Linked DNA regions of Xenopus tropicalis. Each later gene encodes a partner of the first gene's protein in a complex. Links are inferred from orthologs where the notes say so. Each region holds a gene or a part of one and is shown on either strand. Other genes may lie near its edges. The genes, in order: snca, ppia and naa20.

Region 1 (3,754 bases):
AGCTCAGATTAAACATTAGAGTGCTCAAACCAACCAAAAATGTTTATCAAAGTAAGTTTTGCCTGTGTAAGCCTGCAGTCTCAGTTGCATGAATTTTACAGCATAAAGTTGCTGTTTGCAAATACATCACTAATAATGGCGGGTGGGTGAAAGCTACTATCTGTTTTAGGAAAATAATATGGTGCTGGTGAACTTTGGGGATATATGCAGTACAAATGATGCTGTCTGAGTGAGGGAGATGTACCCAAATTATATACATAATAGGAACATGTAGGGTTTACACAAGAGAACTAAGGACATTTAGTTTTGTGTTATTATTAAAATGTAGTGTACTGGACCACAACTCAGGTCTTTTGTAGGTTTCAGGGGGCAGTGTGTCCCATAATCTTCCCTAGTTGACCTTTCTGGTCTGGTTCCTATGCCTCTTTCCTTTGCCTGAGCACTTGGAGAACTATATTGATGTGTTCACCCTTCTATTTTACAGATCTGTAGAATATATTGAACTATGTTCTTTCTATCCCTCTCCCTAATTTTTTAATTGTCATTATAAAGAGTAGCATTTAAATTTAGTCATTATTTATTTGTATTGTGTAAATTAGATTTGCAATATACCTTCAAAAGAAACAACACTTTGTAAAATCATAATGTAAAGAATATGTGTAACAGGCTACAATGTGATTAGAACTGGGCAATCTATTATCAAGCCTACAGTTTCTGTAGTGGTCTGTCTTGTGGCTTACAAAACTGTACAGTGGGCTATTGCTTCTAAAACAGACATGTATGGGATTTACCACCAAGGAGATCCTCTGTGATCTCCAGGGGTTACAGATCCATTCTGCCATGGACAACTACTGCTACAAACTTCTACACAATAAACAAATGTTAAAGGGTATTTGCATTTGTATTCCAAGGACACGGAAGACAAATGATAGATCCTATTGTGTTTTTTGCAGGGTGATGAAAAATGGAGATAAGGATTGTAATTGAACAGATGACATTATATTGATTAGTTTTTTACCTACCTACGTAGAGAACACCCTCTTTTGTCTTTCCTGCTGCTTCTGCCACTCCCTGTTTGGTTTTTTCTGCAGCTGCCACAACACCCTCTTTAGCTTTAGAAAGCCCTTTCATGAATACATCCATAGCTAATAAATTTATTCTAGTGGCTCTGCAAAAGACAAATGCATACAAACACATTAGGACAGGTCATTTGATTATAGTGTAACTCATTACATTTGAACAGCATCTACAAAATAAAATATCTGTAACTGATTAGTATAGGATTTAAAAAACAATCTCTCGGTGCAACCCTTGTCTATCCTTAATCAGTCCAATCAGCAAGATATGCTATATATATGTATTATATTGCCAAAAATGGATTTCTGAAACATGAAACGCCATTTGTCTAATACTTCTTTACTACATTACAACATGCAACAGAGTATTTCAACAGGACGAGTCGGTCTATGATGGTAGTATTTTACAAAGGTCTGTAACTTACCAAAATATTGTAAATAATAATGCAATAGCTGTTGTCAGGATGAAAAAGCTTTACAATAATTATTTTTAATCCAACAAAAACTTTATTCTTAAGGAAAAAAGATAATCCCTGTTGTTAAAATGTACCTAATTATTTAAGATGTTTGATAGGTGATGAAGATCAAAGTGTATGTATGTCTGTGATTGTGAGAGTCTCTCTTTATACAGATATGTATGAGTGTGTGTGCAAGAATGAATATTTGAGTGTGTTTGTATGCAAGAGTGGTGCTGTGTATGTGTGAGAGAGTTTGTGTGGGGGTGGTTGAGGGAGAGTCAGAGAAAGGGAATGGGAGAGAAACAGACACAATATACCGTACTTCACACAGGCAAAAAGATTAAAGATAAAATTGAGCATTTAACCCACAGAAACCTTCATACTTCCTATTCTCCTTATATAAGACAAACAACCATGTGCATCATTCTCCGTTGCATTAAGGACACAGGTGACAAGCTATCCCGTGAGCAACTGTCAGCTGCTTAAACTAGGTCTGGGTGAAAATGCCAGATAGAACATTTAAAAAAGCTCATAGTGAGCAGAATAAATACACTTAATATCCTACATGGCATGTTATATAGATGTAAATGCAATACTTACATTAACCTTTGCTCCCCAAAATTAGTCCAACAGGAATGATATCTGTGCGTGTATAAACAATAAAAAAGGAATCAAGTCTCTTCTTCAGTACATAACTGCCAAATAAATCCCCTGAGAGGTATGTGCATATGTAACAACCTGATGGAATCAAAGCATTCAAAGCAGGTACCAGAGAAACCACACCTATCAGCTCTTCATAAACAGAAGGAATTTTAGAAGGGGTAAAAAATAAGAGATTAATACTTTTACTCAGTAGGAGCAACCTATGTCCTCCGTATTTTTCTTCCCTTCCCCTACACCCTCCACACCTCCCTCCTCCCGTCTTTCCTTTCCACATGCCTGATTTGTCAGTGTGAAAATTGAATAATCGTAGCCAGCCTCCCCAAGCTGGACCACTTGTAATCCGACTGCTGCTCGAGCAAACAATGAGAACCATTATCAACAGAAATATTTGAGATTAAGAGGTCTGCCTTGCATCGGAAAATTATTGTTCCCGTCACCTTCATTTGTAATGTAGGTGCTGGAAAGCAACAATCAAATCTGCCCACAAAACACCACCAACAAAAAAGAGTAATATCGTCTACTACAGACATGCAAATGATCTGCTACCTTACCCTAGCAGCTGCTGTATGCCTGCTGTGCTGAATTATTTATTGCTAAATATCTGCACTTGCCACAATAAATATTTCTTACAACAAGCTTGCAGTCACTAAGGTGATAGCAGATATGTAACAGGCAAGCATTTAAGCGCTCTCTCCAATTACTAATGACAGTAAGAAGAGAAGAATAACACTAAACAGCTAAAATATTACAAAGCCTTACCAAAACTGAATTCTAGTATTTACTATATTATGTAGATGGTTCCTTTCAACCCAGGGAATTGGTCAGTGGAAGGACAATGTAATTATGCCCTAAATACTCCAATTCATAACTGTAACTAAAGAATGTGGAACCTTTAGATAATTACATTTTGCAGACCCATTCTGGTTACTGGTAATGATAACATCTTATTATCAACCTTATCCACAATAATTCATTCTGACCATTATCCATGCACTGCTATGAAATGCTATAAGATCAGCAACCAGTTTCATTCCTAAAAAACAGGAGTACTATTATTATCATCCCTTATTTACATATTATATATATATATATATATATATATATATATATAGTAGTAAGAAACCAGGAAAACAAATAAATCCCTTGGGAAACTACAACCAAATGGTACCCAGTAGAGAATCAATCTATTTTTCCAACACAGCAAGGCTTCCAAGCTAATTTAAGTGCTCATTTTCTAATCCCCAGGTTACATGTGCAAGAGTGCGACACTTAATGCCTTTTTGCACTTTACACAATGTATTGTGTGTGTGGTACAGTACATAACCCCTTTGTTATTCAAGAAAGCTACAACGACAGAGGAATAATTCACAGAATTGTTCTGAAGATTCTTCTGTTGGAGGAGAGGTGTCTTTTAAAACAATATGCAAAAAGTACAACTAGCACAAGCCCTACTAATTGAACTCATGTTAAACAAGGGGGTATGTTGCTCCTGTACTTCAAAAAAGACATGGCATCTGTCACACAAAAAGCCCATTTCATTTTGTGCATTTGTGATTT
Region 2 (3,754 bases), on another chromosome or scaffold:
TGAATTCCTGGCTTGGAGGCAAATTTTGGTTGCAAACAGACCAGCCTGTAGGCTGCCAAATAGCCAATCACAGCCATAATTTGGTACCCCAGGTACATTTTTAATGCTTGTGTTGCTCCCCAACTTTCACATTTTAACCGTCTCACAGGTATAAAAGACTGGGGAGCCCTGGATTAAGGACACGCAGATTAGAAGGCTGGCCCTGGCATGACCTGACTGGGGAGTAGACACCACAGGGAAGTGCCGAATACAAAGATGCCTGGTTGCAGCACAGAACACATCTCCCACTTCCTGGCTATTTATGAAGTGTTGATCCCTTGCAGATGCCTTGAGACTTTATGAAGACAAACAATAAACTGCTGCCAAGAGTCCAAGCCTGACACCACTAGACGGATGGTTTGTAACTATATTGCACTGCTCGTCAGCATACAAACCTTAACCTGGCCATACATGCACAGTACTGACCGAGCCCCTTCTTGTATGGTCACTCACAGCACCCATCCGTATTACTGACCAGCACATGGCCATTTCTGGGGGATTGGGGGGGCGGCATTACCCAGGGCACATAACTACCTTCTGTTGTCCGATACCCCACTGTAGCTTTTATGCCCTTAATAATGCAGCATGGCATATGCAAGAGCATTAATATTTAACCATGAGAGGGGACAGGCATGCCAGGCAGTTCATTGTGCAAGATGTAATAAAGTTAAAGTGAACCTTATTACATCAGCAGGAGTCGTGCCCTTGCTTAGGCAGGAGACCAACGCATTTGGTGCAGTGTTGCTAGCCCTGCATACCAGTGTTAGAGGGGGAACCATGGCACAAAGATGGCAGGAAGGCAATGCCTATGCTTGATTATGGCAGACCACCACCACGTGAAGCAAAAAAAGGCTCATGCAGGGGAAGGATTAACATGACTGCAGAACTGAAAATGCCTTATATGGCTTCAGTTACGTCGCTATAAGTCTATAAATAGCAGATTTAACCCCTGTATGAAGCGCAGTAAGTGCATGCAGATTGGACACCCTGGGACAGAGAAACCCATGCAGCCACAGTTCTGTACATAGTAATATAAAGCATTTACCATCCCCTATATAGCCATCAGTATGCACTATATCTACCATATAACATACACACCATGTGGATTTGCTGGCTCAGGCACTGCAGTAAGAAAGGGAGAGGGGCCTGCATGCCACCAAGGGGACAGTAACCCTGACAGCACCTCACGTACTTGCCCCTCAGCTCCAATCCCTTTAGACACAAACCATGCAGAGCGACTACATCAGCTTTCCCCTGGCACCAATACACAATGGCATTACCCATGCACCCAACATGCACTGCTGGGGCCCCTAAAGCACTCCCTGCATTAGCCTGAGGGAACAATAAGCCCTCACTGACAGGCTTTGTGCATAAAGCCTTTAGGCCAGGCAGCAGGTGTATTTCCCACAGAGCGGTGTCTCCTCGCTAGGGCACGGCGTGATTAAAGCCCTTTGAATTCTACACTAAATATACCCGCCATGCCCACACCCCAGCAAGTGGGGCATCCCACAGGGCACACCTACCCCGCACTAACACAGGGCTGAGCAGCTCAGCAACCAAGCAGACATTTTGAGAACAAGAAATCTTCACATTACTTGATTTCTTCTAAAATGGATTCCTCCTCCCCCTCCATAGAAGTGACACACGGGAGGCGGGCTCTCCCAGCCAGCGAATAAAGGGCCTAGTATAGTAAGACCTAGCAACAGACATTCACTTGTACCATATTTACAGTAAATGATATATAGCCACCCTCAGCAGCCCCCAGCTCTTGCACCAACATGTGGCAGAACTACCCTCCCTGTACTTGCCTCCGCTAGGAATGCTGGGAGCTGTAGTCCGACCATTTTGCCCAATACGCTGCCCAGCGGATGTATCACAGCCATAACTATCAAACAGCGAATGAACTCGCTGCACAGCAGGACATGATACATTAGTGATACAGTTACATTGTCATTTTCTTTATATTAACGACTAGAAGGCGTCAAGTTACCCCCCCAACCAAGAGCCTAGTGTATCACGTGACACCGAGGAAACATGTATGCGGTAAGAATAACGCTGCAATACAGCCAGCAGATTCACCCGGGGCTGGGGGAGACGGCCAGACCCGCAGCGCAGTGACGCCCCCGCACCATGCAGCAAACAATGGAACCCCCCCCGGCCCATTCCATCGTGTTACAGTCATGTGACCGGCTCACCCCATCGCTCCAGCTAGCCCCAAGCACCCATGGGAGCCGCACTCACACACACAGGAACATGGCACACGCAAAGAAAGTGCAACCGGACTCTATCAAACCAGCAGTTTCTGACATTCTCACAAATGGCGCCAAGACTTAATGCCACCCCCCTCCCCCGACAGTAAAGAGTCTACTCTCATTACCTCCATGATAATACGGCCCATCGGGCAGCCATCAACGGCGATGTCGAAAAAGACCCTGGGTAAAGCCATAGTGCAGAATGAAAATAAACAGTGCCTTGCCGTGAGCGCAACGTGCAGCTTCCTAACCCCCTGAACTCTAAACAGCCCAAGAGAACCACGGAAAAGAGCTTAAAAACGGAAGCGGGGCTGATATTATATGAGAAGCTTGGCCCCGCCTGGCATCGTTTAAGGGAAACACACCAATAGAATGGTTCCATGGTACTGATTGACAGCGCGGCGGGCCAATAGTAGGCTGCAGGAGAGCTCATAAGGTGTGGCACAGAAGCGCGGGAGTCCTGGGCGCGGCCTGTAGAGGTGCGGTGAGGGCCGGTCCGGCTGTGACGCGGGGAGTGGCTGCCTTCGCTTTGGGCTATAACTCAGGGTTAACACTATTCAGCGGATAGGGTAATCCGGCATGCATTTGTGGCTTTATACGACATTGCTGGAAAGCGTTCTTCATAACGTATAGCTGATGAATGGCTAATAGTAAGTGTAATAGCTAGTTCTGGCAAGCCCTTCAACATACTTCTTTCTGTAGGTGCACTAAAAAAATTTGCAGCGTTGCAGTAAAGTGAGAGTGGACTGCAGCGAACCAAACCCGGTGTAATAGGGATTTTGAGTGTTTTTGTCGCCTGAGCGTTTTGTAACTCAGCTGTTACCTTCTGGAGCACTGAAACATTATTTTGCCCAGTCCTGCTCTTAAGGGCAAATGCCCATACCTGGTGCACTCTTACCTTCCAGTTTGTGCCTGTATGTTACCCAACCACTCAGATTGTAAGCTCTACGGGGCAGGGACCTCCTTCCTACTGTGTCTCATACCACATGGCACTTATATATATATAGATATAGATATATATATTTATTGTATTTATTTATTATATCACTTGTCCTCCCTGTGTGTAATTTTGTATTCTGTAAGACTGTACAGCGCTGCGTACCCTTGTGGCACTTTATAAATAAAGTTATACATACAATGGCGATACAGCATTATAAATTGCTTTCCATTAATTCGAGAGGCATTTGCCTGCTCAGTGCTGAGGTGATTACTGCTCCAAAGCGTCTCTTAGTTATAATTGCTTGAGCTTAATAAGAGGTAAACAAGGACAATGCTTAACTGCTTTGACGCCCATCTATAGAGCTACAAAATAGGGGACAAAACGTGCAGATGTGACCCATGTGGCGACCGTAAAATAAAGTGATAGGTGTGTTTATAAATGTAGAAGCCAGGTGGCCACCGGTGATTCCCATTGACATTGATGGTGTTTTGAAGCATTTCATTTTTTATCTTACCAGGAAAGC
Region 3 (3,754 bases), on another chromosome or scaffold:
ATTCCTGTAAAACTGTCATTATCAGTTTAAAGACAACATATATTTTATATTTGTGTGTCCATTTAAAAATAAACAAGAAATCCACATTTGTCACCTTTCAGAAATTTCTTCTAGTAACTCCATTAGTTTAGCTGCTAACCCGAGACGTCGGAATTCTGGTGCGACAGACAGTGCAGTGACGTGTCCATGCCATTCCTCTCGTGCTACTGAACCCTCGGCTTTTCCCATTACTGCAAACAAGGTTATTCAGGGTACACGTTAGGACTTATTATTTCAGCAATTCCTGCATTTAAGTCAAGGTAATACATGGGCTCATTAAGTTGGGTTATGTACAATAGGAGCATGAACGCTGCCTGAACTTCCAGAAATAAATGTGCATTTCTCTAGAGACTATTGCTTCCTTCATATGGCGTGCAGGCTCTGTTAGTACGTGCCTAAGGTGGCGGAAACATGTTTTGAGCATTAGGTGCTCTTTAGGACTTTGCAAGCATACCATATTAAACCCATGTTAATTGACCTGGAAATTTAATACTGAACTATATCTTATATAGGGTATATAAGGGTGCTTGCTGCAGTTTTCATTCTTTTTAACATGCAAGATGCACAACTGCTGCAATAAACACATACTTTTATAATTAAAATGTTTGTGTGTTGGATAAACGCCAACTCCAAATCAAACAAAGGCTGTTTTACTTGGGAAGGTGCATCAATGATGTATTGGTGTAATGGATATGCCAATTAGAGATACAATTTTATTTATAAACACTACTATTTATAGTTATTACAGACCCTTTGGCATGACCTGGAATTCCCAGTCTGTGGCCCGGCAGCCGTGGTTGCTAAATATAAAGAGCTTTAGATTACAACCTGTGCATTACCATGACCAATGCCTTATAATAGTACTTACTGTAACCCATGAGTTCTCCACCTGGTGCCTCTGCAACAATAAAATATTCAGGCCAGTGTGCCAAATACTGCAGGTAAAAAGGAATGCCATACTGGAGTCCTGCAGTTAAGGGAAAAAGTGAGGGTATGTCCCAAGCATTTATGTTATTACTATGATATAAATCAAACCAAAACCAAAGATTAATCCGTGCTAGTGTGCTGTCTTGACAAAACACCAAAAGAACATTTGGATGACTCTAATCAGATACTTAAATTAAACAAGAAAATTGAAGCTACTCCATGTTTGGTCCTTGTGATGTAGATAATTGGATTATCAGTGCACAGACAAACTTGGTGCAGAAATAAAAGGCATAATTACTTGAAAATGCTGTCTTCCACATTTTCACATAATTACACCAGTTTGCTGTATGTAAGGTTTCTTTTATATGGCAATTTCAATTTATGCGGCTGGAAAGGCATTGTTTAGGCATTTGTGTCCTTTACCCCATGCACTAAAGCAGCCCTTAAGTGTACTGAGAAAAGCACTGAATATGTCCATGCAGGTGGCACAAAGTGACATTTGGCTAAAATGTAAGACATTTTTCTGTCATACTGTAGCCCTTTTTTTTTTTTTACTATGGGATGAATGCTCAGCAGGTTGAGTTGAACAAAAAGGATACAGTCTCAGTTAATGGATCCAGGTTGCTGCAAAAGGAAAAACAAGCAATTAGTAATCCTCATCCTCCCTAGTGATTATTATATGCAATATTATCCATACCATAAAAGCTAGAAGGCTGATAGTTCCAGGGTGTATGTAAACCTCTTTTTCTTGGAATATATATTTATATCATAAATGATGTGCAAGGGAGAGAAATATTATATATAGGTCAGACTATGAAAGTTCCCATTCCAAAGGTGTATAGTAGGCACTGTACTGGGATTCTTATCCTAATGTTCAAGAGAACTAAAAGGGCTTATCTGAATACAAATGCCACCCCACATGGCCCAACCTAGGTTTTTTGTTTTTAGTGGTTATGTAATTAGAGTCTGTTACAGGGCAATTCCCTATACCAACCAAATAGCAGGTACCATTTACTGGTCTACCCTTTAAAGGCAAACCTTATTGGTTGCTATTGACATGAGCAAACATACACTTTGCCAATATTGTTGTATCAGTCAGCTCCTTAAATCAATTTTTCCTGCTGCAAAGCCAAGCAGTCCCTTTCAGATTGGCCATACAACAGTCTATGGTGGCTACCTACATGTTTACTCTGCAAACACACCCTTGGTACATGCAACATAAACAAACACAGTATATTACACAAGCAGCTGCAAGGTTAATGGGTTCCCCTAGAGTACTTTATAACATTAGGGCAGCTAAGTAGGCGCCCATTCTGTGTAGCAGCGCCATGTCCCCGCACAGGCAGCTCCTTCCCCTCAGCAGCCACATTCCCCCAGACATATAACAATTCCCAGCAGCCCACATCACAATCTGCCGGACGAAGCTGTCTCCTCATATCTTACATGTTGTTAAATCGAAACAAGTCATCGCATGTGAACGGTCTAAGCGATGTCATTTTCTCGTGAAGTTTTAGAACACCCAAAGAACCACGCCGGAAGTCAAACCTCTGCAGCCACCGTACTGACAGTGACGTCAACTTACTGGCGGAAGCTCGGCTGAGTGTAACGTAAGTGCTCCCAGGGAAACGCTCATATGATCGTGCTGTAAACCAAGCTTGGAGTTTCAGTGTAACCACAAACTAGGTCACCGTACGAATACACTATAATAAATGTCTTTCAGTTTGGTTTATTGTAAAATGAGATTGTTGCTTTAAAGATACAACCTAAGTACAACCTTCCCAGTGTGTATACTCATGAGTTACAGGGATGTTGGTTACAGAATGAAGATTTGTAAGTGATTATAAACATAATACAGGCTTTGTGATAGCGGGTTGTCAGTCTATGATATTGTGGTTTTATTGTTTCAGACAATACATGTACATGCTCAGTTAAAGATATGCCAACCTGCCCAATTGTTTGGGGTCCCTCTGAAACCTTCCGGTAAAGCCAAGTCTGCTTCTGGCCCCTGTTTCGTTTACCTAGCCAGTAAAATACCAGCCAAGGATGGGTCTGGTAAATTTGTAATTACCTTAAACTGGGGTTGCCACCTTTTCTGGAAGAAAAAATACCGGCCTATATTTTTATTTTTCTTCTCTATTAATAACATTGGGATCAAGCATCATTTTTACTTGCCAGGTGGCAACCATACCTTAGGCCAGTGCTGTCCAACTGGTGGCCTCTGTGTGGCCCCCCACCTGTCTGGCTGCTTTGATGTCTTACCTTTGTGTAAGATTTAAATCGTATCAGTACTGAGATTAACTGCCCTCCCTGCATGGTTCTCACCTCAGATTCAGGCTTTAAACCCCCTGTATGTCAGTATGAGAATATGACACACACAGGCAGCATAGGGCAGGCAGAGTATGGCACACACAGGCAAGGTAGGGCAGGCAAAGTATGGCACACACAGGCAGCATAGAGCAGGCAGAGTATGGCACACACAGGCAGCATAGGGCAGGCAGAGTATGGCACACACAGGAAGCATAGGCCAGGCAGGCAGAGTATGACACTCACAGACAGCATAGGGCAGGCAGAGTATGGCACACACAGGCAGCATAGGGCAGTCAGAGTATGGCACACACAGGCAAGGTAGGGCAGGCAAAGTATGGCACACACAGGCAGCATAGGGCAGTCAGAGTATGGCACACACAGGCAAGGTAGGGCAGGCAAAGTATGGCACACACTAGCAGCACAGTGCAAGGAGAGTATGGCGCACACAGGCAGCATAGGGCAGGCAGAGTATGGCACACAC

Evidence for each region.
Region 2: the proteins of snca (region 1) and ppia are in contact, whole or in part, in a crystal structure (PDB 6I42), measured with the Homo sapiens proteins. The link is inferred for Xenopus tropicalis from reciprocal best matches to the Homo sapiens genes SNCA and PPIA. Residues at the interface, in NP_000336.1 of Homo sapiens: His50, Gly51, Val52, Ala53, Thr54, Val55, Ala56, Glu57, Lys58; in NP_066953.1 of Homo sapiens: Arg55, Ile57, Phe60, Met61, Gln63, Gly72, Thr73, Lys82, Ala101, Asn102, Ala103, Gln111, Phe113, Glu120, Trp121, Leu122, His126, Arg148.
Region 3: the proteins of snca (region 1) and naa20 are in contact, whole or in part, in a cryo-EM structure (PDB 7STX), measured with the Homo sapiens proteins. The link is inferred for Xenopus tropicalis from reciprocal best matches to the Homo sapiens genes SNCA and NAA20. Residues at the interface, in NP_000336.1 of Homo sapiens: Met1, Asp2, Val3, Phe4; in NP_057184.1 of Homo sapiens: Leu23, Thr24, Glu25, Tyr27, His73, Val74, Thr75, Ala76, Leu77, Ser78, Leu110, Phe111, Tyr137, Tyr138, Ser139, Ala140.

The regions. Positions count from the first base shown.
Region 1 is NC_030677.2:78,431,535-78,435,288, reverse strand, and holds the start of snca (alpha-synuclein), read right to left. Parts: upstream 2,419-3,754; 5' UTR 2,135-2,418; intron 1,733-2,134; exon of another isoform or gene 1,627-1,732; intron 1,587-1,626; exon of another isoform or gene 1,502-1,586; intron 1,169-1,501; 5' UTR 1,144-1,168; coding exon 1,023-1,143; intron 1-1,022. UniProt on the Homo sapiens protein: Neuronal protein that plays several roles in synaptic activity such as regulation of synaptic vesicle trafficking and subsequent neurotransmitter release.
Region 2 is NC_030679.2:126,271,088-126,274,841, forward strand, and holds the start of ppia (peptidylprolyl isomerase A (cyclophilin A)), read right to left. Parts: upstream 2,569-3,754; 5' UTR 2,486-2,568; coding exon 2,417-2,485; intron 1-2,416. UniProt on the Homo sapiens protein: Catalyzes the cis-trans isomerization of proline imidic peptide bonds in oligopeptides.
Region 3 is NC_030681.2:36,941,326-36,945,079, forward strand, and holds the start of naa20 (N-alpha-acetyltransferase 20), read right to left. Parts: upstream 2,498-3,754; 5' UTR 2,463-2,497; coding exon 2,410-2,462; intron 1,591-2,409; coding exon 1,566-1,590; intron 999-1,565; coding exon 908-998; intron 231-907; coding exon 95-230; intron 1-94. UniProt on the Homo sapiens protein: Catalytic subunit of the NatB complex which catalyzes acetylation of the N-terminal methionine residues of peptides beginning with Met-Asp, Met-Glu, Met-Asn and Met-Gln. Proteins with cell cycle functions are overrepresented in the pool of NatB substrates.